Kluyveromyces lactis: one gene and its partners. The protein of the gene in region 1 binds, or shares a complex with, the protein of each later gene. Links are inferred from orthologs where the notes say so. Each region holds a gene or a part of one and is shown in the gene's direction. Other genes may lie near its edges. The genes, in order: NUP120, NUP188 and NUP49.

Region 1 (4,355 bases):
TTGGAAAGATGTCATAAATTCACCCCCAGGAGATGACGTTTCTGATGCCGAAACTGTAATAAACACAAGGCGATCAAGATCATCGTCCTTGTTCTCAACACAATCCAATGAGATGCTCAAATTCCATACTTATCGTTTCTTACAGTATCATTTATCTTCAATTAGCAAATTGAAGCTTCTCGGAAACAACATGCTATCTTTTGGCTCAGATGGTTTACTAAAGCACTGGCTCATTGAACCTAGTTTGAACTCTAATGAAAAGGCAACCAAGGCGTTTCACTGTGTGCCTAACCTCTTGGGTATTTTTTGGTTGAATAAAACAAGGTTTATGACTGTGGATGAAACTTCCGTCAAGTTGTGGAACGTAAGCCAGAGCGACCCTGTCATATCTTGGGATGGCCTCAAGGATTTAGAAGGCTTACAATCTGTAGATTTCAAAAATAAATGGCTAATTTTGACTTTCGTTAACGAGATACGGGTCTGGGAAATTAAAATCGATGACTCCAGTATCGTTAAGGTTAATGAATTCGTCATTTCAGTCCCCAATAAGATTCTCAATTGTTTGTTGGGATTAACGGAAAAATCGCTTATAATATTAAATGGTAGTTCAAAACAAAACGTAAAGATTTCTATCTTCGACTTTCAAGGCTCCCTTTTACAACAAATCGATCTTTCTCATTCGCTGACCCAATTCCATCACACAAATAATGAATTAGCATTGAACAGGTCGACATCAAAATTGCTTGTGAGATTCGATACAGAAACTCTGATTTACTCTTTCGATCAGAAGAAGACCATTTTAGTGTCTTCTACCGCAGAATCTGCTATTTCCTCGATTTTCCTCAATGATTTGGAGTACACTGTCACCGCTTTGAAGGATGGTTCAATACTCGTGAAGTCAATCAAAGAAGATGGTAAAGTAATTAGAAAATACAATCATTATGAACACCCTGAGAAGGTTCCCGCTGAAGTGCAACCAATTGCCATTGCATCCACAGTCATAGATGATACCCCTGTAATCGTTTCTGGTGGCTATAACGGTGTGATACGACTAGAAAAAATTATGAGCTTATGAACGCAATGCTATAGTAATCAAAGCTGCCGCTATAATTCAAAGAGAAATATAGGAAAATAATCTATAATGCTCATGTAAAACAGTACAAGACGAACGTCATCGTCTATAGACATGGTATCCCCAGAGTACCTATATAATCCTCCTCACAACATGGAAATTATTGCCCAAGCGACCTTAAAATTCAGTTATAAGTTACCCGGATAATATTGTTTTCATGGTTACAACAACAATGAGAAAAGACATGTTGAAATCAATCTGACATGAAGTGGAATCGGTAAACAGAAGAGAACAGCCACCAGAGAACTTCAATTACAGGCTAAATCGGAACATAAACCTACAACATTACTATTGAACAGCTGAGAGGTAAAGCTGAAACTGCGAAAAATGACCAGCTTTTCTCGTCTGAATACAAATTTACTACAATTAAAATCGAAGCACTCATCAGACAATGCCCAACATTTATACGTCAATGGGAATGTTGGATCATCTACAGAAGAAATAACTTCCGTAGAGTACAGCAAACTGTTGCAACTAAAATTAATTGATGAATCGTTGTCCTTCCAATGGTGTAATAATTACACTGTTTTGAGTATTTACTCCATGAAGGAAACTTTTGCAAGGAAAACCATATATATCCACTTTCCAAAACCTCTTCTGAACAAATGGTTTACTGCAGTCGTATACGAATCTAGTGAAACGACCTCCAACCTATGTTTTGATGTGATTTTAAAGGATGGAATTTTCATCAACCTTTCATTGCCTATCGATTTTATTCTATCGAGAACTCGTCAAAATGAGTATCCTGAGAATTGGTTGAAGGTTTTAAACCCGTATGATTTCTCAGTACGTCCTCCACAGTGTCTATTTCATGTTGATAACACCTTCAGTGTAGTATTTCTAAAAGATGGTGGTCTTTTGGGGTTAAAACGTATTCCGCTCGAAATATTAAACGATTTTGAATTGCAACCTGTCCTATTCAATGATAGTTCATACTTTCAAAGTTTTACAAGAATGTTTTCAAAGTACGATAACCACAACTCTGCAGTGGTATCTGCAGAACTTTTGAATGACAAGTATCTTGTCACATTAACGAATGATGCAACCATTAAAATCTGGGATTTAACCACATATCAACTAAATGCGCATTTCGATCTAAAAGAGAAAAACCAGCAGGTGAATTATGGAGCTGCCGGAAAATACATGATAATTTGTGGATCTCTCCTGTTTGTATACCTACCTGCAGGTAATGGATCGTTCCAAGTCATTCAATTAGAAAATACGCATTCTTCAAGAATCTCCTTCAAACCATTAAACGTTAATATACCTCTCAATCTTTCATCTTATTCAATATGGTCTTTAATTGACATTCAATTAGTAAAATCCTCAATTGTCAAACAATCGGGACTCAACTTGGTTTTATTATGGAAAAGTAACACAGTGACCAAGCTACAACTACTCTCCTTCGAAGACTCTCTGTATAGTAGCTACAAATGGATTGATGGTAACAGCACATACCTCTCTGATTTGCTTGATGACTCAGACCTAATAACAAACGGAAATATGGAAAAGGCTCTCCTCAATCTCAAGTCACACTACTCACAATCAACGTACGATGACGCACAAAAGATACTGAATAAAAATAATGTCATGGTGCAGATAAATGATCCTCATAATCAAGATTATTTGAATAATCTAGAAGCTCTTTTGAAAGAACTTCATAAACAATATCAGGAGCCTTCAACTCTAACTATTCTTGATGATGAGATAATTGTTGTTAACAGCTTACACATGTATCATCATTCCACGTATAAGTTAGACTCACAACTTGAAACAATTTTCTTTAACATTTTTGAGAGAAAGGAACCCTCGTCTCAACTAGAGCTTTTCTTAAATATCCTGCATGGTTTTTCAACAACCATTACATCTGAAACGTTAAATAAGATATCTGAGAAGTTCTTAGACATGGTAAATGGTTCAATAAATCCCTCGTTATCATTGAAAAATAAAATTACCATTGTCTTTCAAGATTGTCTAACAAATGGTTTCCAAAGTGCTAATTTATCAAAATTGTTGGAAAATCTAAATTCTATTGATGTGGTGGAGGTTTTATCCGAATTTATACACTGTGATTTGAAAGTAGGTGCTTTTTCAGTTATTGATTTATTAGATACTGACATTTTCTTATCTGTTTTGTCTATGGAATCCTTGAAGCAGACACTCTCCATTATGGATAAGTTTATCATTGATATATTGTTAGTATTCACTATTGTGGATATCAACTATGAAGTTTTTGCAGAGAAGTTGTCTAAGTTAATTACCTTGCACTTCAATATCTCATTGTGGCTCCAAGTGTATCAAATAGATAAATTATTGGCAATTTCTGAGACCTTCGGTCATGTTACTAAATACAATTATGGTGCACAATTGAAATCTTACAGCGATATAACCGACTTTACTACATTAATGGTTGGTTTTGTCAAGAATTCTCCAACAGCTGAACCTCCAATATTTACAAGAGCCTTTTCCGATTTCATATTGAACGGCGAAGATTTGACTTGTGCAAAGCAATTCCTACACTTTGTTGCTAAGCCTTACCATGTGTCCAAGGATCCAGTAGAAGAACTACTATATGCTCTTTCTTTGTTCAAATGCAATGAATATGATGCATCTATTGAAATATTCTTGGCAAATGACTTCTCTGATGAGCTCTCACTACCTAAATATCTGGAGGTTACTGAAAATCACGTTTGGTACAATCTCCTTCATGCGATCAATACAAAAGATAAACCAGCATACTATTATGAACTTTCAGTTCTATGTTCCAAAGCTTCATCGTATGCTAATGCTTTAAAAACCATCAAAAAATCTATATCACTTGATGGTACAAGAGCAGATCAGTTGATACAATACTTAGATACATTGATAGTATTTGGCGATTATAAAGAAGTCCTGGATGTATTGAGGTTGGAACAAAAAGTCCTTGATATAAGCCTAAGAGAAAAATACTATTATACACTGCTGAGTGATCAAAAGTACAGTGAAATGTTCACTGCAACTTTACTCCAAGAATGCTACAATGCAAACATTTCCAACGGATCCATACTATTATGTGTGAGTGATTATAAAATTATAGCTTCAATTTTATCATCACAAGTTTCTCTCACTGATTGGAACAGCTATAAAAAGTTGTTCTCTTTCAGAATACTAAATCAACATGAAAGGAAAGCGTGCGAGGAACTATATGACTATGTACTCTTCGGATCGAACGACGAGGTTAAAG
Region 2 (4,278 bases), on another chromosome or scaffold:
CTGCTCCACCTTCTTACAATGATTCTCAAATGCAAGTTGTATCTAATCCGTTTGACGAACAAGATGAAGATAATCTTCAGAGAGAGGAATAATCGTCAAGATCCAATCTAAGCCATTTTCTCTTACCATGTTGTGTAAGCTTTTAATTTATCTTTTTGTAATATTTCCACTAATCACTGATTAAATAATAATTTGTCTATTAAATTTCAAGCTTACCGAATTACAACCAAACACTAAGGAATCGTGGTCCAGTCGAGTCTGGGTATCCCACAGAAAGGATTCATTCCATAGTTGCTGTGTGGGAATTGATGTCTAGAGATATGAGAAGGGCTTCGCAACATTTGAGGTTGATTGGCAACCATTTACATGCTAGAAACTACCACAACGTTTTGGTTGGAAGCAAATACTCATCGTCTTTTAAACAGTACTTGCAGCTGCCAAACGGTGAAATTGGGTCCTATTTCCACGATGTGCCATTAGACTTAGATGTTGATGCCAAAACATGTAACATGATCGTAGAGGTTCCACGTTGGAGTAATGGGAAGTTTGAAATCAGTAAGACCGAACCATTTAACCCCATCACACAGGACATAAAGAAAGGCAAGCCACGATTTGTCAATAACATTTTCCCTTACCATGGATACATTCATAACTATGGGGCTATCCCACAGACATGGGAACAGCCACTTATTGAAGTATTGCCCGGTTTCAAGGGTGATAATGACCCATTGGACTGTTGTGAAATTGGTTCCAGCATCGCCAAAATGGGAGATATCAAAAAAGTAAAGCTTCTAGGGTCATTAGCCCTCATTGACGATGGAGAACTCGATTGGAAAGTCATTTGTATCGACATTGAAGATCCCATTGCTATAAAATTGAACAAGTTGGCAGATGTAGACACTGTTATGCCTGGTCTCTTGGATGCAACTAGAACATGGTTCAGAGATTACAAGATTCCTGCTGGGAAACAACCTAATGTGTTTGCATTCGAAGGTGAGTACCAGGACCAAGCATCTACACTTTCTACGGTACAAGAATGTCACGAAGCCTGGAATGCTCTAGTTAGGGGAGAAATTAAAGCAGATGGATCAGAGGCCGAGATTCCCTCCATTGTCAGAGCGGGAACTCACATAAGAGTTGAACCTAATCAACAAAATGACACACCAATCCCACAAGAAGTGGACAAATGGTACTATGTATGAACTTAAAAGCAGTCAGTGGTCAGTAAGCTTCTTCGGTTAGGTTAACCTGGCACAGCTCATCTCCTCTTATTATGCCTTTATGATATACATGTCCAATATTTTGATGTTACCCTCTCTCATATGTAGTGCAAAATTTTAATGTAAACAAAACTATATTTAATGAAACTATTCGATCTAACAATTAAGACGATGAGACAGTGGTACAGATTCACGTCAACTAAAGGCTATTGCGCTGGCCAGGTGTACCGTGCAGCATGTCATCTTTATCATTTGCTGGAATTTGTGCGTTTCTCCGCTCTGGGGAATACGATAAGGTACATAATGAGCCTACTTTCCAGGCAATCGATAAATTCTTGAAGGACAACGAAGAGATACTGGTTCATCTTTCGAGGTTTACCTCAGTTGAAAACACTGATTCCGTTGGAAAACAGCTGCAATTGAGGGGTTATTCATATAATGTGACGGTAGAGGACGAAAAATTGGCCAATGAGCTTTCAATTGCGTTAAATGTACATCAAAAAGAGTGTTTGAGAGTTATTTCGCAGACCAGGACCAGGTTCCCAGATTGTCCAATGGAAAAAGATACCATCGTTAAACAGATCTTACATGAAAGAAACTGTGTCTTGGATACAACCCTCGTTTTATTAAATCATGATTCTTTCCCAGTTTTAAAGGGCTCCATGTTACAACTTGTCTACAAGAATAGGTCCACAATGATATCAGAAGCAATTCTTCTGGTCAAGAACTGTGTAGCACTTATCGGCTCAGCAGAGCAAAATGATTCTTATAAGAGCTCATTAATGTCGTATGATCTTATTTATATTACAAATCTATTGAATTTGATCGCATTCGTAAGCTTGAATCAACCAGTGGGTCTGGAAATTATCACAAAATGGTACGAGTTGCTCGAAGAAACACAGTATTTCGCCATACTCAAGGATAATAAAGATGTCCCATCAGAGATCTACAACATGGCAAATTCTTTAATGATAATGGATACTATTATAATGACAGGATATAATACAAGCGAAGACACGATAGACGTAAAATCGTCTTTTTTTAATGACGCTGCGACTTTCAGAAGGCTTCTAGATCTCATAATAAACACAGATCCGCCAGCAATTATTGTATACTACTGGTCTTTCATCTTATATTCCAAATCGTATCTGTTAGAAGAAGATCCTGAAAATAATCTGGAATTCGTGCAGCAAGTCTTCAACTCACAACCCATTTCGAAGCTAATCAAAGAGTTTGCCCTTACTGCAGAGAATGAAAATGTTTTCGAAGAGATTTCTAAGGTTTCACAAATATTCAAAGATCAAGCCTTCTTTGCGGCTATACTGACTTCCTTCATCACTTTTTCGTTGTATTTCGTTCCAATCAGTATAAAGACTTCCAAAATGATCAAAACTGTCCTCAGTAACGCACCAACTCATTATGTGGAAAAGTTCTTGACAAACAAAGAATTTGAGAAAAAATTCTTCTTGATAAAAACAAAGGCTCCGCTGTTGAAAGAGTCACTCATTCCAATGATAAACATAACCTCAGCGAATGCTGAATTTGCAAATTTTGAGTGGAAGGAACTTCCCACCTATGTCCAAGAGGTTGTATTGGGAAGTCTAGAGTACGACTTAGCTGATGATGCACACTCAACAGATTTGATATCCATAAAGAGTGAGACCTTTGCTCGAGTACCGTTGGAACCTAGTGGGAATGTTCTCTTACCAATTCCGAAGGACACGAAGGCTAAGATCTTACCTTCAGTAACTAATGATGACGTCGTGATGTTCTTGTATAAATATAACGGTTGGTCATTATTGGGTAGAGTCCTTCAAAATGCATGCGATAGATATCTGTCCACTTCATCTGCTGGTGTTCAAGATTCTGATGTTCAGGAAATGATATTATCAATGCTGGATCTAATTTCTAGTGTTATAGGAAGTGGTATCTCGGTGGAGAAATCGGCCGATATTCTACTACAAATGTCTACCTATCTTACAGAAGATTACATTTTTGATGTTATTTTCAAAGTCTTCGAACAATCTTTGCATTTAAGAGACTATGACGTTATTGATCATTGTCTCAACCTACTCATCAGTTCCATAGATGACTTTTCTCAGTTCGTATGGTCGCATTTAGCAAGATCTGAACTCCTTGATAGGTATGGCAAATCCGGATTGATTTCTAGTGTCTTGGGCACCATGGAATTACCAAATGGAAACTACTCAATAACAATCAAGATTATCAAATTGGCGCAACAATTAGTTCTAGAATCTCTAACACTAGAGACAGAATTCCCAGAAAATCTGAAAAAGGAAATTCTTTCGAAATTCTTTCAGCATTTCATACATGTTTATGAAAGTTATCAATACTGGAACTATCGTTCCATAGCTGAGAAATATGAGCTAGGAACAAACTTAACCATCTTGTTTACGACTGTCGTTTACAATATTTATGGTATCGATCCATCTAATCCGCCAGAAACTAAAATTACTAAAGTCCTATCATCAGCTGCAAACGACATAACGAATCGCTTTTTAAGTTCTGACTCACCAGATGTAAGAACAGTCACTTCCATACTGCATGTTCTATTATCCAGCAACTCATTGGAAGCACTCTCTATCGGAAATGAAGTCTTTTACAATAAGTACAACCAATGTTTGCTGAAGTCTTATGAATTAGCAAACCTTTTAATCTCCGTCCGTGCAATGTTACAATTACCTCCCAGCACTCTGGAATCACAAATATATGGCAACTTGCCGAAGTTAATTGACATTTACGCCTTACACAATGATTTAAGAAATCCAATAATCAAACTCATGACGCACCTTGTGAGAGCCCCTTGGGCCGAAAACTTCCCATCTCTTTTATCGTATCTGGGCCAAAAACACTCCAAGATGATTTTCAATTCGATCTTGTACGACCTCGCAAGTACAATCGATGATTATCAATTTCTGAAGAGTTTATACAGATTCTTTTCTTCCGTTATGGAAGGAAAGCAGGATGGTTTCTCTATTCTTTTAGTTACTGGCGAAACCATATCCGTTGGCTCTTCCCCAAAAAAATCAGAACCATC
Region 3 (3,169 bases), on another chromosome or scaffold:
CAAGATAGACAAATGCAACAAGAAGAAGTTCTGTGTTTCTAGAGTTTTCACAGAAGACGAACGTTTACCAAAAGTAACTTCTTCTCTTAATAAACAAAAGTGGTGATCATGGGTGGATAAACCTAGGATGATCAAATCAGCATCTAACCCGTAGATACAATGTCTTGTATTTGGATTGTAATCCTCTTGTGCTCTAATTGCTCTGATGTAATCCATGATCTTATGTTCACCTTCACCAGGAACCTCATGCCCGGAGAAAATAACCTTCACGTTCTGCCATCTGGTATCGTTGGTGATCTTGTCATGGATGAAATATTTCAAATTCTCGGTTAATTTTGCCATAAATTCTGTTCCTGGGGTAATAGCGTTGGAATCAAATGGCTCTCCCTTAGGCAACTCGTCACCATTTTCAATGGCCTTCTGCAAAGCCTTTTCGGCATCCATGGCAGTTCTGAATCTACGAGCTCTTTGTTGGTTCATCTTTGCTCTTGGGGCCACACCATCGATTGCCATATAAAATGTCTGTTTTGGTTTAATAGTATGGAAAAGATGATCAATATAACTGAAAATTTTGGAATAAACTTCTTCCTCTGATAGTCTTGAATTCACCTCGCTACCATCACCATGCGTACAATTATGCAAAATAGAATTCATATCCAAGTACAAATTGTCGAACTCTGGAATCTGTGATCCATCGATCAATTGAGAAATTTGAGGCCATCTCTCAGAGATGAAATGAAAGAATTTTGGAATACCCATTTTTAGTTAAGCCACAAACCGTAATTAATTGAACACTTTCTGAGGTTTGCTTTACTGACTTTTTTCCTCCAACAATAGAAAAGATCAACAACAACTGGGATTGGATAGTACCAGTAGTATACGTTGCCGAACAATGAGTAACCACTTTTAGTGAATTGTTATAATATACCCTGATATGGATGAAAGACCCTGAAAGTACATTAACCAAAGCTACTGTTTAGTAACATAATCGTTAAGGTAATTTGGTAATTCTTTCCAATGTTCAATCGGAATATTTTTCTTGGTGGTGGCAAAATTTTTTGAGACGAGGTTTATGGGTTACCCGGATCCATAAGTTCAAGCTTTTTTTTCTTGTTTTATACTCTTTGATGGAAGAGTTGAAAACATTTTGAATATGGAAACTGAGAAAGTAAACAGATGAGGTTAAAAAGAAAGATGGAGAGAGCAGAATTGAGACACCAATTGATACTGAACAGTAAGTTGAATTAACTGAATTTACGGCGTGTAAATATCTAATACTCTTATTACTGATAGAAACGAAATGTTTGGCCGTTCTTCTTCTACAGGTCCTCCAGTAGGACCAAGCACAGGAGGAGGATTATTTGGGAATACGGGCAACCAGCAAAGCACTAGCGGTGGTCTTTTTGGTAATAACAATGCCACATCAGGTAACACTGGAGGAGGGTTATTTGGAAACAATAACAATACAGCGACACAGACTGGCGGAGGATTATTTGGCAGTAATCCAGCAGGCACCAACAACAATACGAACCAAACCGCAGGAGGACTTTTCGGAAGTTCTAATAATACAGCCACTGGCTCCACAGGTGGCCTATTTGGTAACTCAGGAGCCGGGTCTGGCGGAGGCTTATTCGGGAATAAGTCAGCACAACCACAGACCACTGGTTTTGGAAGCTCTGGAACTGGAGGAGGATTATTTGGATCCAAACCAGCACAACCACAGACTACCGGTTTCGGAGGCTCTGCAACTGGTGGAGGATTGTTTGGATCCAAACCAACTACCGGAGGCCCATTCGGAAATCAACAACAGCAATCCCAACAATCTGGTTTAGGAATGTTTGGACAAACACAAAATCAATTTCAACAGCCACCACAACAACAGATACAACAGACTCAACAGAGTGCCATTAATTTCATTAACCAATTAGCTATCACGCCGATGACCAAGATATCGGAGCTTCCGATTCAAATTCGTCAAGAAATCGAACAATTGGACCAATTCATTAGAACGCAAGTGTCTTTATCCAAACATCTTGAAGCTGATCTACAAGATCAAACTGAACTATTGGATTCAATCCCTCGTGACATCAAGTATCTACAAAAATTGCATTTCAACGCAACAAGATCACTATCATCAGATTTGAAACGAATCGATGCCATCAAGACACTAGTGGATAAAGATGTTAAACAATTGGAAAATTTTGCTATAATGTTGCAACAACTAGTCAGTAAGGGATTCAAAATATCAAACGTTGAGATAGATAAGTTCTTCCAGGAAAAATTAATCACATACAAACACAAATTAAATGACTACAACGACACTCTAAGCAATATTGACGACGCAGTGTCAGGTCTAGAGAATGATCTCTTTGGGAACGATTCATCCGAAGATGATGATACCAAGGTCGGTGTTAACATTATCGTCAGCGTTCTAATCGAAGAGTTCAAACTATTCATGGATACAGCTGAAAGAATAGCAGAACTGCATCAGAAGTGTAAAGAAATAATAGTTAAATAGTCGATATTATTCTTTTAATACTATAAAAAAAGAAAGCGTTCAAGAACATATTACCTATTGATGCAGATCACTAACTCCTGCACATGCACTGCACCTGCACCGCATCTGCCACTTGTCTCTTCGCAGTCTTCTCTTCTCAGGCTCCCTTTATCTTCCCTTCCTTATTTAGGTCAATGAGTTGTGAAAAAAGGGAATTTGATACGACAAATATAAAAGGAATAAGGATTAAAAAATGGTTAACAAGGAGTAACAGTTTTCCCGGAAACGAAAATGTGAAACAAAGAACAAAGGAAAGGCGTCCTGGTTTTGTGATTATACTCAAGAAATATATATAGGACTGATAAGAATTTTAGAACGTTGCTGGCAACTAACTATCATTATTGGAATATCAGAGACATATTAAGTGTGACATTTTAGTATTAATTCTGTCAGTATAAACTTATTGTAGATCAAGCTTCAGGCGTAAAATCAAGGAGCTAGGAGATTTTTTTTTTGATTAAAGCGAAGCGATGGCTGAAGTAAAAGATAGATGTACATCAGTGGATGGAAATGACACTTGGGGGGTCGTTGGTGGTGTGGACGGTACATATTCCATCAGGGATCTTGACGCTGGTGAAATGGACGATATTTTATCGGTGACAAGCAGCGACT

Evidence for each region.
Region 2: NUP120 (region 1) and NUP188 share a complex: the UniProt entries of both Saccharomyces cerevisiae proteins name them as parts of the nuclear pore complex. The link is inferred for Kluyveromyces lactis from reciprocal best matches to the Saccharomyces cerevisiae genes NUP120 and NUP188.
Region 3: NUP120 (region 1) and NUP49 share a complex: the UniProt entries of both Saccharomyces cerevisiae proteins name them as parts of the nuclear pore complex. The link is inferred for Kluyveromyces lactis from reciprocal best matches to the Saccharomyces cerevisiae genes NUP120 and NUP49.

The regions. Positions count from the first base shown.
Region 1 is NC_006039.1:1,080,529-1,084,883, forward strand, and holds the start of NUP120 (Nup120p), read left to right. Parts: upstream 1-1,459; coding exon 1,460-4,355. Other genes in the region: FAR8 (Far8p), read left to right, coding at 1-1,075. UniProt on the Saccharomyces cerevisiae protein: Functions as a component of the nuclear pore complex (NPC).
Region 2 is NC_006041.1:971,998-976,275, reverse strand, and holds the start of NUP188 (Nup188p), read left to right. Parts: upstream 1-1,456; coding exon 1,457-4,278. Other genes in the region: RSN1 (Rsn1p), read left to right, coding at 1-92; inorganic diphosphatase PPA2, read left to right, coding at 309-1,202. UniProt on the Saccharomyces cerevisiae protein: Functions as a component of the nuclear pore complex (NPC).
Region 3 is NC_006042.1:2,088,825-2,091,993, reverse strand, and holds NUP49 (FG-nucleoporin NUP49), read left to right. Parts: upstream 1-1,300; coding exon 1,301-2,518; downstream 2,519-3,169. Other genes in the region: chromatin-binding exonuclease XRN1, read right to left, coding at 1-759; KLLA0_F22341g (uncharacterized protein), read left to right, coding at 3,028-3,169. UniProt on the Saccharomyces cerevisiae protein: Functions as a component of the nuclear pore complex (NPC).